2 linked regions of the Mus musculus genome follow. The protein of the gene in region 2 binds, or shares a complex with, the protein of the main gene of each other region. Links are inferred from orthologs where the notes say so. Each region holds a gene or a part of one and is shown on either strand. Other genes may lie near its edges.

Region 1 (7,070 bases), on a different chromosome or scaffold from region 2:
GCTTTGCCAGAGGCATGCTAGTCGGTGAGTTAGTGAGGGCCATTGCTGCTAGAATTTGGCTAAGCTGTCTACTCAGGAAGGGGATCTCAAGGAATGACTACTTGACACAGTCAAAATCCCCAGTCCTATGTTTCCCACAGTGAACAGGACATCACCCAGCACAGCTAAAGCCTAAGGACAGTGTCAGGGTGGTCAGGGCCAAGGGAGGGTTCTGCCCCACCTACTCACTGAAGACCAAACTTCTATCAGCTCAGCCACACTTGTTTTTCTCTTCTCTAACTTGTAGGAACAGGTACAATAATGAAAACAGAGACTCTTCAACACAATGTCGGCTCAGAGCACATGAGCAAACTGCACTTGACTGGATTAGCGAACTCAGCACATTTATAGACATGTCCCCCAGTGTGGCTTGTCTACAGTTTTCTTTTTGTGGTGCTGGGGACCACGGCCCTAACACATCCAGGCTGAGGGCCACAGCCCTTGCTCTATTTTCTCTATTTCACAACAGGGTAACCACCAAGTGTTGGCCCTGTGTTCTTGTGATTCTATGTGAAGCGTAGGCTGGCTGAAGCCGGAATGGAAGTAGCTTTGCTTTCACTGCTTCCTGCTCAGACTCCCCATGTCCTTGTCACTGGCGGCCTATGAGCCAGGACTGGAAGACAGTTTCTTCAGAGTCACACAAGTCATGTTTTGCATTTACCCAGTAGGTTGACAGCTGGGGTCACGTGCCTCCCTTGTCTAGTTCTTACTGGGTGCTACCTGAGCTTTTGGGGCCCCTAAGACAGGTAAGGATATTTGCAATGGCCTCCCACCCCAGAATTGCTAGAACAGCACTCCCTCAGATAAGGGCAGGGCAGACTGGCCACTCTCCTTCCTCACACCCAACACGATGCCCTAGACATGGGAGACACACTGAACACACCAGGTAAAAACTTGAGAATCCACAAGACACATTAAAAAAAAAAGTAATAAAAAAGGAAACATCAAATTTAATTTAAAGAAAAACAACCTGAAAGTAACTGCAAGAACAATGGGCAAACCAACTCCTGAAAAGAGCAAGACGGTCACACTGACTGGAGGGCTGGAGAAAGGGACAGGTCATTTAGCTGGAGAGCTTGTGAGTTGCTTGCAAATGAACTTCTTCGAGGGTAGAGTGATCCTGGGGTCATTTCTGACTATCAGGATTCGTGTGAGCGTCTCTCTCTGGGAGTGTCCTGTACATCTCAAGAGGCAAAGTCTCCACTTTCCTACACAGGATCCATCTTTTGTCTCAGCCAACTCTCAATGGAGGGGCGACTAGAACGACGCCATCTCCCCGGACGAAGAGCATAGGGATGTTTCGTTTTGTGGACTGGAGGAGAACAAAAGGGAAAGGCAGGATCAGGGTAAGCAGTCTGAGTGCCTGTTTCCTGGGTGACCGCAGCAGGGACCACTGCGCACCGAGACCCACTCTTCTCTCGCTGTGCACTGCTAGAGTGCACTTTCCAGGCTTCTTTGTGACCAGACCCGGACACAAGGTAGATGGTTTTGTGTTATTTTTTTGAGATGGGGTCCGTCTTGCTGTGTAGCCCATGTTAGTCTGAAATTCCTAATTCCTATACCTCTCACACCTCAACCACAAGTGCTGGATTATTATTAAGATTTATTTTCACTGTGTGTGTGTGTGTGTGTGTGTGTGTGTGTGTGTGTGTGTGTGTGTGTGACTTTTCTGGCACTTGGGTTCTTGTATGTACATGATACACATGAACTCAGATGCACACATACATATAAAAATTAGATAAATGTAAAATAAAAACAAGTCAGACATTATGGCTCATGACTGTAATGCTAGCACGGAGAAGGCTAAGGCAGGCAGGTCTCCATGAATTCAAGTACAACTCAGCTACATGGCACATTTCAAAACTGCCTGTGTTATAAGTAAAGACTGTCCCAAAACACATATTAAAAGGAGAAAAGCAGCAGCAAGTGCTCTTGGCCTCCGAGCCGCCTCTCCAGCCTAGGTGCTGGGACTGCAGGAGTTTGCCACTATGCCTGGTTTTGAACTGACTGGGGGAGAGGGTGCTGGGGATTGAATTCTTTCACATTCTGAGCGAATGCGTTACTACTGAGTTACATCCTCAGCTATGGCGGAATTTTAGCCATGGATTTCAAGAGTGACTTCCTTTGAGTGTCAATGGGTAGTCACTGTTTACCAATGGATGGACCCTGTACACTGAGATCTCAAGGAACAGGAGGGTAGAAGTTTAATGTCCCCAACTTAGCACTATGCTGACTGTAGGCCAGGCCTCAGCCTCCAGTGAGCCCAGTCATCACACCTGCTTCTCTGTACTCCTGGGGGTGCGAATGGGGAACACAATTTCCAAGGCTTTAGCTCAGTGGTCAGGCTTTGGGCAGTCAGCAAACATGGTGCATCTGGAGTCATCACTAAGCCTTGGTAAAATGTTAGCAGAACCTGGAGCCAAAAACCTCCTGAGCCTATAGACTGTGGAGACGAAGGCTGGAAAAAGCCAGATGTTTGTAAGTGCTCTGGTGTGACAGATACATTCAACAGGGCAGTACAAAAATGAGATCAGGCAAGAACTGGCTAGTTATCAGGAAGACAAAAAGAAACAAAGCCAGATGCTTTTAAGCCCAACTATGTAAGTACAAAAGAAGCTGTGATGAATAAGCTTTTCAGTTAAAACCACTCTGTCCTCAGGCAAAGACCATGCAGCTGCTGAAGGGTAGGGTTAATCAGGGTGGTCTGAGAGAGACGCTGTCTCCTTGGTTTCCAAAAGGTCTGTAATTATGTGAGGACTGGTGCTTTAGGATGAGGTCAAGATGGTTCTGCTACAAAGAGGCCATCACCAAGAGCAACCTGTCAGTTAACCACACTGTGGGCTATATGGTGAAGGAAGGGGATGAACATGATGGACAGCAGGAAAAGTGGGCTAGAGCCAAAACACTTTAGCAATCAACAAGAGCAATACTCTAACTGTGGTGGACCGAGAACCAAAAGAACAGGGCCAACCACTTTCTGTCTTCCTATTAGCTAGTTGGTCTCAATCCAGTCACTCAGGAGTTAATCATAAACACCGTGAGGGGAAAACTCTGGGAATCCTAGTGGTCTGTAGGCCCCTTCCTATTTTGGAAATGTTCCTGTTCATTAGTTATGTCAGCTGAGAGAGGGCAAAACATACAACGGGCCAAGGGGAAGCTGCTGTCTGGTTTCCCATCTCAAAGGTAACGAGCGATATAAGGCAGCAATGTCGTGTTCTCCACAGTGCTGCATGATAAGGACTGTAGATACTACCTACAGCACCAGTCTGTCCTGCCTCTGTGTGTAGTCAAGGCACATGACACATTCGTAGAGACCATGAAGAGATGCTCAGCAGTTAAGAGCATCGGCCACTCTTCCTGAGAACCCAGGTTCAATTCCCAGCATTCACAGGGTGGCTCGTGACTGTTTATAACTCTAATTGCAAGGAATCTGATGACCTCCTCTGGCCTCCTTGGACACCAGGCATGCACATGGTACACAGACATACACAGACATCCAGACACATAAATTTTAAATTTAAAAAGAAAAGAAACTATTGCATTTGTGGGCTTGGTGTGGTGGCACAAGCTTTTAATCCCAGCACTCATGAGGCAAAGGCTCAGACCAATTCAGCTGACAGGAAAGGGCACTGTCAAACTCTTGAGCTGCCTCTAGGCTGTGCAGTGTGTGCCAGGTTCCAGCTTTGTGAGCTGTCACCCATGTTGGGGCAGGCTTTAGTGATACAGCTGTCTTTAAGATCAGTGTTAAAAACAGGTTGTGTGACTCCAAAAACACTTGCATTTTAGTTATACAATCTATTAACCGTTCCTAAGTAGGTGCCAGAACATAATGGGCTTTCCACAAATATGTGTTAAGCTGTTGCATGTTGAGAACTGACATTGTCAAAGCAAAGACTTGCAGGACTCACTTTATATATCTCTTCATATGTCTCCTCATCAATCTCTATCGTTGTCACAGTTTCTTCTACATCTCCCAGGATCATATTTAAATGTTGATCATAAGCCTGAAGTGGGAGGGTGAGATATGAGAAACAAGTAACATGGCTCAAAAGATACAAGTGGATTTTAAGTAACAGGTTCAATACTTACACCCAAAATTTTACATGCAAATAACAAACACCCTCTGTGCTAGCCTATCATGTCTTTACAAGCCATTCCCAGTGACAATACTGCTTATGATAAAAAGTGAGTCCACTCAATGCAACCCAAGAACACTTAAGCATCGCCTTCACTTGTTACCCAAGGCGGTCCCACCAGTCACAATAGTTTATTATGAAAAAACAGCAAATTCTGTCAGACTTCTTTTGAGATACTAAGCAGCATAAAGTCCTGTCACTTGCTGTGTGATAGGACCATGGTTCTCAAGCAAGGACACTGTCATTCGATGCTCACAACAAAACAGGTGCAGCAAAATTTGACCCATTTTTGTGGACATGGGTATGTGTGTGGTGTACATGTGTACTACATGTTTACATGTGTGTGGATGCCAGAGGTTGAAGCTGAATGCCTTCCTCAGTTGCTCCCCACATAATGTGTTAAGATGGTGCCTCTCGGTCGAACATAAGAGCTTGCTGACTGTCTAGCTAGCCAGCTTGCTTTGGTGTTTCCACAGGTGCTGGGGAGCTAAACTCTAGTCCTTACACTTTACCCACCAACCATCTGTCCCACCTCCACTTTGCCCATTTATAACTTATCCAGAATTTAACGTGCTTTGGCATCTGTGGGCTCAATCAGGAAGGATTTCAACCGCAGTGTTCAGTGCAATCTCCAAAGTTCATTCCTTTTACTAAACAGCAAACCTCCTGGGGCTTGTTCAGAACCCACTGCATGTTCTTCTAACAAAGTGCTAAGCGCTTTTGCCTGCTCATATCAAGATTAAAAATAGCCTAACAGCCACACTGGGAAGGAACTGCTTGGCAGCTACACAAATGAGCAACTCATCTGGAGAGCAGGGAGGAAACAGAAAGCTGGGCCGTTACTGCAGAGGTAAGAGCTGCAGACAACTCCAAGTTAGAGGCCACAGTCTGGCCTGGGGATCATTCCGTGCACCAGAGTGCCATGCAATTTAGCATCATCCCACATTTCTCACCAAACTGACACTGCTGTTCCCACAAGGCCAGCTTGTAGATCAATTCTTTATCCTTGGGTTTCATGAAAGAACATGAATTTCTAAGACTGAGACTGAAGTGGGATGGCCTGGTCCCCTACAGTGGCTCTGTCACTGTCAGTAGAGGGTTGTTTCTAATTTCTAAGCCTGAACTAAAAGACTTATTTCAATTCCTGTTGTAAACAAACAGCCCTGAGGGAAGTAACAAGAGGAGACAAAACCTTAAGTACACAATGATGGGACCAATTCCTCAGACATATAAATGTGCACAAGCAATATCTGTGAAAGTACCCATTGCAGCTTTATAGCTGGGGGGGGGGGGGGAGACTGAAGTCTGACACAGAATCCTGTATCCTGTGGCGTTGTGTCAGCTGTGTAATTATTCCACACAAAAAACATGTGAAAAAAGTGTGTACATATGAGACAAGGTTTCACTATGTAGGCCAGACTGGCCTCAAATATATGATCGTCCTGCCTTGGTCCTCTAAGTACTGGAACCATGGCACATGCCTCCGTTCCTCACTAGGCTCCCCTTCAGACACAGGTGGCATATACACATGCAGACGACTATGCAGCCAACTTTGAACAGTGGTCAGACATAGAGAAAAATGGAACTTCGCCTTTAATTTTACCCATTTCTATGAAGTTGTTTTTGTTTTTGTTTTTTTTTTTTTGGGTAGTGCTAGGGTAGGGGCTTTGCCGCATGCTAGGCAAACTATCTCTAGCCTGCTATTTAATTCTTTTCATGACAAAACAGAGCTTTATATGTCAAAAGCTAAAATACCCTATCCAATAACTTTAAAAAATCCAGGACAATGCCAAGAATGAAGAGCATGTCTGTAATCCCAGCTCTCAGGAGAGAGGCAGAGGGAGCTGGAGTTTGAAGCTAGCCAGGTTTTCTAGTATGACCTTGTCTAAACCCAAGAGAACAAACAAGTTTATTCATAAATAAGCAGAAGACAAAACTGAAGGAAACGAAAGTGTTCTCTATGGTTGGAGAGATGCTCAAGCTAAGAGCACTGGATTCCTGAACAGGACCTGAGCGTATCAGGCAGCTCACAACAGTCTGTAACTCTAGCTCCAGGGGATCAGATGCCTTGTTCTGTCTCACCGGAGTCCCACCCCTCTCTAAAAAACCATTCTGGTTAAGGAAAACATATTTTAAAAGTGAATAGAAGGATTTTCCAATTCCCAAAAGAAATTCAAAAAAGTAAGTTTACACTGCAGTTCTAATTTGTAAGGAGGTAGGATGCAGCCTCTGGCTCTGAGATGTTTTAACAGACTTACGTGTAGTCTGCCTCGAAGCTCTCGGTCATTTCTCATTTTCACATAAATTCGCTCATCCAGGCTGAGCCTGATCAGATCCAGGGGCTCCTCTACGGTATTGGTGGTCTGTTGCTGAGGAAAGGCAAAGGCTTACTCATAGGATACAGAGGCCGGGTGGTGTTTCAATCACTGGTCAGCTGAGAGAGCAGCATGTGGGTGCTAGTACACAACCAGGGTTGTCTCCAAGATCAGCAAGCGCTCTTATCTGCCAAGCCACCTCTCCAGCCCCAATAAATCCCCATTAAGGAACTTACACTCTAGTTGTGGAAGAAACACTTTAAATAAATACATATTTAAAACAACATGCTCTGGAGAGAAACACAGTAGGGTAGCACGTACGTACGTACATACGTGTGTGTGTGTGTGTGTGTGTGTGTGTGTGCAGGGGCTATACATATTTAAAACAACATGCTCTGGAGAGAAACACAGTAGGGTAGCACGTACGTACGTGTGTGTGTGTGTGTGTGTGTGTGTGTGTGTGTGTGTGTGCAGGGGCTGTGTGTGCATGTGAGGGTGTGAAAGACATTTTGGTGGCCAAGGTACACCAGCTACCTAAGAAATAGGGAAGGGTAGGTGCAGAGGCCCGTAGGCCCTTCTG
Region 2 (8,876 bases):
AAAGAAGAAAGAAGATAGCTATAGTGTACTCATACATAATAAATAAGTTGGTTCTCACACAGTTTTTTTTCTTATTTATTAAGCACTTAACCCCCCTGTAAACAACTCACTCCTTTTTTTTTTTTTAAAGATTTATTTATTTATTATATGTAAGTACACTGTAGCTGTCTTCAGACAATCCAGAAGAGGGCATCTGATCTCATTACGGGTGGTTGTGAGCCACCATGTGGTTGCTAGGATTTGAACTCAGGACCTTCAGAAGAACAGTCAGTGCTCTTAACCACTGAGCCATCTCTCCAGCCCCAACTCACTCCTTCTAAAGAAAAAATTTGAAATGTAAGGGTGTGTAAGATTTGTTTTTTAAAGTGTACAGTATGTGTGTGTCTCTCTCTCTCTCTCACTTTTTGGTATAGTTAAAACACTACTGAATGTGTCTTTAGATAGCCCTGTCCTGGTGGTATTTTCAATAGCCACTAACCTTGCCTGGTACAGTCTGGGGGTTGTAAATTGGCATGGAAATTTTAAGCAGGTTCTTGGTACACAGCACAAATTTGTTATATATGGGGACAGTAGTTTATTTTTTGTTTTGTTTTCTTTTGTTTGTTTGTTTGTTTTGTTTTGGGGGGGTTGGTTTTTTGAGACAGGGTTTCTCTGTATAGCCCTGGCTGTCCTGGAACTCACTTTGTAGACCAGGCTGGCCTCGAACTCAGAAATCCACCTGCCTCTGCCTCCCAAGTGCTGGGATTAAAGGCATGTACCACCACGCCTGGCTTGGTTTTATCTTATTTTATTTATTTATTTATTTATTTTCGGGACAGGGTTTCTTTGTATAGCCCTGGCCTCCCGAGTGCTGGGATTAAAGGCGTGCGCCACCATGCCCGGCCTTTGGTTTTATTTTTGTTTTGTTTTTTCATCTTCAGATGTCTCTGATGCAGCTTATATGAAGTAATTGTTGTTCTGTTAACTGAAGACCACTCTAATTGCAAAAAAGAAAAATGCGGCTTTTTTGTTGACATTCTGAATGCTTCTAAGTAAATGCAATTTTTTAATTAAAAAAAAAATGCGTATGTAAAAAGTAAGGCACAGCCATCCATGAGTTGGCACTGAGGAGTCAGAGACGTTGAGGTGCCGGGAGCTCACTGGCCAGCCAGCCTAGCCAGAAAGGAAAGCTTCAGTTTAGGTAAGAGATGCTTCCTCAGCAAGCAAGGTGGAGAGGGATGGAGGAGCTGCTGTCGCATCTGGCCTCTGAAGGCCACAGGAGGCCACATGTACCCTCCCTCATACCTACATACAAGATACACAGTACTGCTGCAAAAGAGAACGTTAAAGAGTTAAAGAAGATAGAACTTCTTTTAACTCTGATACTTGTATGTCAGTTTTCTTATTTGTGTGAGTATGTGGGGTGCTGGGCTCCACTATGTTGGTAGCAGGGATCAAACACATGTCACCAGGCTTCCAGCAAGCTCCTCTGCCTGCTGAGCCATCTTGCAGGCTCAGCTGTTTGTTTTTCAAGACAAGAGTTTCTCTGTGTAGCTCTGGTTGTCCTGGAACTCACTCTGTAGACCAGGCTGGCCTCAAACTCATAGAGATCGGCCTGCCTCTGCCTCCAAAGTGCTGGGATTAAAGGTGTGAGCCACCACGCCCTGTGCCCAGTTGTTCTTTATCCACAGAGTTTGGAACCTGTCCCTATCTTTTTGGAAGAACAGACACACAAGTGCACCTTCCCAGTGTGCAGCAGCCGCCCAGGCCACACTTGGAAGCTCAGCACTGGTGCTGTATCACTTGCTGGGAGCTGTAGGCACACAGAATAGAGGTATGCAGCCTGTTTATTGAGGCTGCTGCTGCTGTGGGCCTCTCCCCTGGCCATCGTGTACACAGGCCCATTTGGCCAGTCAGAAAAGGCTCCTCTGATGGTGGCTGGAGTGCAGGAAGCCAGGTCGGAGGGATGTTTCTCCACTGTGGCAATGGCTTTATTTAATGTAGGGAGCTTTGACCCTTCACCTAGGTGACTTAAGTGACTTGTCACTGAGCAGTAGCACCTCAGGTTTCAAGGCTCCCGCCCCCGCCCCCACTCTGTGTGCAGAAGCATGGGCTAGCCAAGCCTCCCTTGAGGGCTGACGGCAACTTTGCTGGAACTCACCCAGTCTTGCTGCAGGGGTCCAAGTTCCCCGTCATGGGCTGCTTCTTCCCTAGGTATCTCAGATCCTCACATCACAAACCCTTTGGTCCCCATCTCAGAGCTGGATTCTGGGGTGACAGATACTCTCTAATCTTAGACATGAGGTCAGCAGACCCATTGACATATTTCTCTTTTCCTTATTAGTGACAGAGTAAAGTAGACCCGGCTGTTGTTGAACTGTCCATGAAGTGGAGGATGGTCTTGAACCTGTGCTTCTCCAGCAGTGCCTCCACAGTGCTGAGATAGTGCCCATTCTGCTCAGGCGCTGCTCCTCAGCACTTACTGCTTTACTTTATTGTTAGCGGTGGGGGTGGGGGCGGGAGCTCAGGGCTTCTATCCCTCCCGCTGAGCTGCAGTCTTAGTGCGGGAGTCTCACTCCATCACTTAGAAGAGCCCTGGGGAGTGTGCCAAGGGAGTCTCCCGGGTCAGAGGATCCCAACAAGTGAACTCATCGCTAACATTCTGTACCAGGGCCTTTCAGCAGCTTGGTCAAACAGCTGTCCTGCTTGGGACAGCTCAGGGTGGAGCTCTGATTCCATAACCAGTAGCCAAAGAAAATAAAAATAAATAGAAGGGCTAGGAGATGGCTCCATGGGTAAAAATGCTTCCTGATGAGAAGGCTAGGCTGACTTCATGACAAGCTTCAAACTGGCAGTTAAGGAGAGGTGGCCTAAATCTGTTTCCAAGAACTGGCCAATTCCAGACAAGTCCAGGCCTCAGAAGCTGCCCCACCACCTGGCCTGAGGCAAGGACAATGGGTAAGCAACAGTTTCCAGACCTCCCCAGTAAGTTTCCAGCCCCCGCAGCCCTGCCATGGAACGTCCATAGAGATGGACCTCACAGATTAACATAGAGGTCACCTGCCCCGGAATTTCCTAATGTGCTTTAAATCAAACCTCCAAGTTAACATGGGTGTCTATTTTGGTAATTCGAGACTCCAGCATGCTCAACTTCTGCATAATAAGACACTCTTTGAGTTTTCATACTATTTGAGTCCGGAATATCATTCTTTGGCACCCCTACTGGGCAAGCATGAGAACCTGAATTTGTAGCTCAAGAAGACACATTAAACCATGGTGGTGCACACCTGCAATCCCAGCACTCACTAGGATCTCTGGAAGGTCGATACCAGCCTGGTCTACATTGTGTGTTCAAGGCCAGCTAGGGATGTACAGAGAAACACTATGTTCCTCCCAAAATGATAATGATTTTTTTTAAAGCAAGGATTAAAGCTTGATGGCCCACAGTGGCCATCCAGCAGTGGAGAAGCCGAGTCGGGGTCTAATGCAAGTTCATGATCGGCTAGCTTCAGCTGCCACAGAAGCCCATCTCAAAACAGGAAAATCCCAGAGATTTGTTTTCACTTCCTGTCGCCAGGGAACGCCAGACCTGCCGTTCGTGTTCAAAGATTCTATTTGAGTTGGTAAAGACAAAGAGATCCATAAGGGCAAGAATGGAAGGCTAGAGCTGGGCAGTGGTGGCGCACGCCTTTAATCCCAGCACTTGGTGGGCAGAGGCAGGCGGATTTCTGAGTTCGAGGCCAGCCTGGTCTAGAGTGAGTTCCAGGAACAGCCAGAGCTACACAGAGAAGCAATGTCTCGAAAACAAAACAAAACAAAACAAAGAATGAAAGGCTAGGAGCGCAAAATAGGCACCGCGCGACTCGCATGCATTAGCCAGCTTCGCCCACAGTGTGGCGCCGAATTAGGCGCCGAACCAGATCCAGGAGAGCACCTCTGCGCAGGCGCCCTTTCCCAACATACACCCCGTAGTGGGCGTAACTTGTGCTGCGGCCTTTTGCGTCGTTCTAGTGTCGCACTTTACGGCTACCTCTCAATCCCACCGTAGAAATACGGTGAGGCCGTCCGTCTTGTTCCGTAGGTACCGCCCTAGCCCGTCCCGATTGGATAGATGTCCGTTGAGCTGCTCGCTGATTGGTCATAGTTTCTGCCAGTCTTTTTCAGTCTGGGGCGCGCGGTGGGCCGCCGGTGGGAGCGCGTGTGTCTGTGCCGCGGCGGAAGTTATCGCTGCAGGGAAGATGGTGAGGGCCGCGAGGCGGAGGGGCGCGCGCAGGGTCTTCGGGCTGCTGAGAGATGGGGGAAACTGAGGCCGGAGTGACCGGTGTCCCTCCAGGGCCCCAGACGGTCACCGTTGGGGATTTATCTCTTGATGGACACGGTTTTTGCGACCGGAAGAGGGACTATGATCGTTTCCGGGGCTTGTCACCGTCATTGATAGGAAAGCTGCGTTTCCGGGAAATGGGCGGGCTTAATGGCTCACGTGGGCTTCGTTGCCCTCTTGATGCTTATCTGGTGTCTGACCTCAGCTGCCCACGCCTTTGGCTGGAAATCCAGCTCAGAGAGCGGGTTGATTCTCTCCCTGGGACACACAGCATGTCTTGCTCAGGAAGAAAGGATTTTTTTTTTCTCCTAGTTTAGGCTCAGGCCTCCTCAGTTTGGGGACTCTTAGACCTGGCATAAACAAGTAAAGGAGGCCAGGTTTCCCCCTGCTCTGTCGAGGGGCGCGTTGGCCTAAGTGAGGAGAGCCACATATTCCCATCTCCCCAGTTCTTGATGGTAGGATATTTGGTTTGTTTTTTGGTTAGGCTTTCTGATCTGAACTGACATAATCCAGGCTAACCTCAAACTCCTGATCCTCTTGCTTCAGTCACTGGAGTATGGAAAGGACACGTGTATACTCCACATTTGAGTCAGGATGTGAGGCAGGGTCTCATATAGCCCAGGCTGCCTTTGAACTCCATTTGTATACATGCATCACTGTGAACTCCTGACCCTGCCTTTACTCCAGAATGACCCTGGGTTTTGTGGTGCAGGAACTCTAGGCCTAACACATGCTAGGTAAGCACTCCCCACTGGGTGTACCCTGAGCCTTCCTGAAGGGATGGCCAGGTGCGTCCAGGACTGGACACCCACCTCATGCAGGTGCGCACAGACACTCCCATATCTCTGCGGTCAGGCTGGTACAGGAGTGTCCCAGCTGAACATTCCTGAACTCAGAGCCCTAGACTTGGTTCTTTAGCTATCTCATCTACACACTGGATCCCAGAGAGTCTGGATGATGGCTGAGAAGGAATTTCCCTTCCTGGAACTGGCTCCTCTAATGGGAGGTGCTGGGACTGGATTCCAGAACGGGTGGCTATAACACCTGCAGCTGCTCTGTGTAAAGCTATGTCTCCTCCACTCAAAAGCCTGTGACTATCCCAGCTCCAGCCTCCCTGTCTGCCCTGGCCCATTTCACTCTGAGCTTTTTCTTCCTTCATTTTGGGGAGACATTCCTAATTACTTCTTTCATTCCTCTCTCCCACTGCACACACAGTAGGGGAGTGGGGGGTTGTGGTGGCCTGTCCCTACACCACACTTTTCTTACCTGTGGCACTGGACAGGATGCACCTGTGCTGGGTGTCCCCACCCCTGCGTGTTCAGCAAGTGTTTACTGCTCCTCCCTGCTGCAGCAGAGCCCACGCCCACACTGACCTTGTGTCTAGCCAGGGAGACTGATGCTAATCACCCATAATTAGAGAGCGGCTTCAGCTGCTGAGCTGGAAACAGGCTGGCAGCCTAGGGTGGCCATTAGGGTCCTGACCACAGGAGGGGACATGCTCAGCAGGATTGGGCAGAGAGTCTAGGGAAGGGCACCCTGGGTGGTGGCTGGGGCCCTGGCAGGAGGAACGAAAGTTGAGCAGTAAGGCTGGACCTTGCCATCGCTGCCTCCAGGCTGTGCTGGGCCATAGCAGTTCCGGAAGAGCTTTGTGTGCCTCTATTCTTGTTTAGCAATGTTTGCCCTTGAGCCCTTGCTGTGCCTTGTATTTGGGAGTTTGACTATTCTATTCCTTTATTGAAACAGGATCTCATGTAGCCCAGGTTAGCCTCACACTGTAGCCAAGGATAACCATGGCTCCAACTACCTGGAGCTTAGCCATAGGATGCTATACTGTGGCTCTTTTCTGCTGTTTATTTGAGGATCAGGGTGGACACCATTGTCACTGATCACCAAGGCCACCCACCCACCCACCAGCCATTTTCACAAAAGTCATCCTCTGCCTCCTACCCTTCCAGGAAGCCTCTGCAGGAAGTGGGCTAGAGCTTCACTTCCCTGCCACTAACTCCTCCCCGCCCCTCAGCTCTTCTTGGGAAGGGCCTTGTACTGTAGGCTCCCCCAGTCCTCTCATGACCCAAAGTCCCCATGCTGGGCATGATGGCCCTGAGGATCTGGGGCTCTTGTTGTTTGTTTCTTCTGTTTTTAAAATGATTTATTTTTATTTCATGTGTTTTGCCTGCATGCATGTGTCTGTGAGTGTGTTGGATCCCCCTGGAACAGGAGTTATAGATGTGTGAGCTACCATGTGGGTGCTGGGAATTGAACCCAGGTCATCCAGAAGAGCAGCCTGTGCTCTCACCTGCTGAGCCATGTCTCCAGCCCCTCGTGTAGTTGTTTGTTTGTTTCACTGTGTAACCCAGTTGGCCTGGAACTTATAGATAATTCACCTGCCTCTGCCTCTCAGTGCAGGGATTGAATGTGTGCACTGCATGCTTGGCTGTAATTTGATTTTTGTGTATTTTGAAGACAGGTCTAATGTAGTCCAGGCTGATCTCAGACTGTAGCTGAAAATAATCTAAAATTCCTTATCCCCCTGCCTCAGCCTCCCTGGCACTGGGATGACGGGTGTAGCACAACACACCTGGCTTTATGTTGGTCTTTATGATGCTGGCTCTGGAAGGCAAAGTGTCACTAGCCTTGCTGTCACCTTGACCTCAGCCCTGGGGCTCAGGCAACCCAAGTCACCTGTTCTGGAAGCACATGGACGGGATGTGAAGCAGGCTGGTGTGCAGTCCTGTGCATTTAGAAGGCTGTGGCCAGCCTGGGCTTATGACAAGATTCTGCCTCAGAAAAGCTACCTCCAGACAGAGGACTGTGCCCCGCTTCTGTGGTTCCAGGTGACAGAAATTGTGGAGAAATGACCAAAATGGTCCGGGAGGTCCAGGTGGCTCACATCTGTAGAATGGGATGATGTGAGGTTACCTGTGACCTGAAGACAGGCGAGTGCATTGGGGGTAGCCATGCCCATGTGGTCGTCCCTGAATTGAGGACTACACCTCACACTGACTTTTGCCTTCCAGCTTCCCTTGTCGCTGCTGAAGACAGCGCAGAATCACCCCATGGTAAGCACTCTGGGCCACCTCCCTTCATGTGCCCACAGCTCAGTCTTTTGCAGTTCATGATTGAAGGCCTGGCAAGATGTCTCAGTGGGTAAAGGTGCTTGCTGCCAAGCCGAAGGACCTGAGTTCAATCCCCAGGACCCATGTGATGATGGAGGGGTTCATGACTTCCCTGAAGTTGTTCTCTGCCCTGTCTGCACACAGACAGAATGGCAAATGCAATACAAAGGAAAACGTTCACAAAGAAATCTATAGCCGGGCATGGTGGTGCACGCCTTTAATCCCCGCACTTGGGAGGCAGAGGCAGGCGAATTTCTGAGTTCGAGGCCAGCCTGGTCTACAAAGTGAGTGCCAGGACAGCCAGGGCTACACAGAGAAACCCTGTCTCAAAAAAAAAAAAACCAAAAAAAAAAAAAATCTTTTAAAAGTAATGTCAAGAAGAAGCTGGGCACTGTGCAACTCATGCCCCTGATTCTGCCCTGAGAGTCACAGCATAGACCAGGTCCCCTGTCATCGCAGCTGCCTGGGAGGATGCAGCAGGAGGATTGCCACTGGTTGAAGCTTTTTTTTTTTTTTTTTGAAAAGGAGCAGCAGTGTGGCCGAATAGCCAAGGCATGGCCCAGCAAGCTGCAGGCCTGGGTTCCATCCGAGGTGCCACAGAAGGAGCCATGCCTCTGTGGTGTGTAGTGTGTTTATAGACTCCACACAGCCAGAGCCCAGCCTCTTCTCATTTCCCCTCAGCACCCACCTCGGGTCTACCCCAGCCCTGGTTGCCTGTGCACTGCTCCCACCTGACGTCTGCTCCTTTGCATTTTGTGAGCATTTCTGAGTGTGGCTTGTCTGTCACTCAGTGGTTTTGAGTCATTTTCTTGGCTGTGTTAACACTCCTTCTGTAGGTGACTAGACTGGGCTTGCCCATTGTTTCCTCACTATCCTCCTGCCTCAGCCGCCAGAGTTCTGGAATCACAGGTGTGTGCCACCATGCCCAGCTAGTGTGGAGTTTTAATTTGTCTTTGTCCATACATTGGGTGGGGAACCTGGGCGGTGCCTGCTTATCACAGCACCCACTTATGAGCTGAGCGGCAGCCAGCCCTTAGAGGTTGATCCCAAAGCACACCCAGAAAGCTGTAGTTTGGGATGGGAAGCCAGCTGTGTTTGAGCTAGGCTGATGGGCTCTCCCACAGCTGGTGGAGCTGAAGAATGGGGAGACCTACAACGGGCATCTGGTGAGCTGTGACAACTGGATGAACATCAACCTCCGGGAGGTGATCTGCACGTCGCGGGTGAGTGGTCATGCGGGGAGGGTGCACTGCTGGCCTGGATGGACTATGCCCACCTGTCACACTTCCCCTCTCCACAGGATGGTGACAAGTTCTGGAGGATGCCTGAGTGCTACATCCGTGGCAGCACCATCAAGTACCTGCGCATCCCTGATGAGATCATTGACATGGTGCGGGAGGAGGCCGCCAAGGGCCGAGGGCGAGGAGGACCGCAGCAGCAGAAGCAGCAGAAAGGCCGAG

What was found. The genes of interacting proteins can lie anywhere in the genome.
Region 1: Lsm4 (region 2) and Lsm3 share a complex: the UniProt entries of both Homo sapiens proteins name them as parts of the precatalytic spliceosome. The link is inferred for Mus musculus from reciprocal best matches to the Homo sapiens genes LSM4 and LSM3.

The regions. Positions count from the first base shown.
Region 1 is NC_000072.6:91,516,522-91,523,591, reverse strand, and holds the end of Lsm3 (U6 snRNA-associated Sm-like protein LSm3), read right to left. Parts: intron 6,545-7,070; coding exon 6,434-6,544; intron 4,044-6,433; coding exon 3,948-4,043; intron 1,352-3,947; coding exon 1,271-1,351; 3' UTR 972-1,270; downstream 1-971. UniProt on the Homo sapiens protein: Plays a role in pre-mRNA splicing as component of the U4/U6-U5 tri-snRNP complex that is involved in spliceosome assembly, and as component of the precatalytic spliceosome (spliceosome B complex).
Region 2 is NC_000074.6:70,669,238-70,678,113, forward strand, and holds the start of Lsm4 (U6 snRNA-associated Sm-like protein LSm4), read left to right. Parts: upstream 1-3,993; 5' UTR 3,994-4,217; coding exon 4,218-4,220; intron 4,221-7,317; coding exon 7,318-7,359; intron 7,360-8,540; coding exon 8,541-8,639; intron 8,640-8,716; coding exon 8,717-8,876. UniProt on the Homo sapiens protein: Plays a role in pre-mRNA splicing as component of the U4/U6-U5 tri-snRNP complex that is involved in spliceosome assembly, and as component of the precatalytic spliceosome (spliceosome B complex).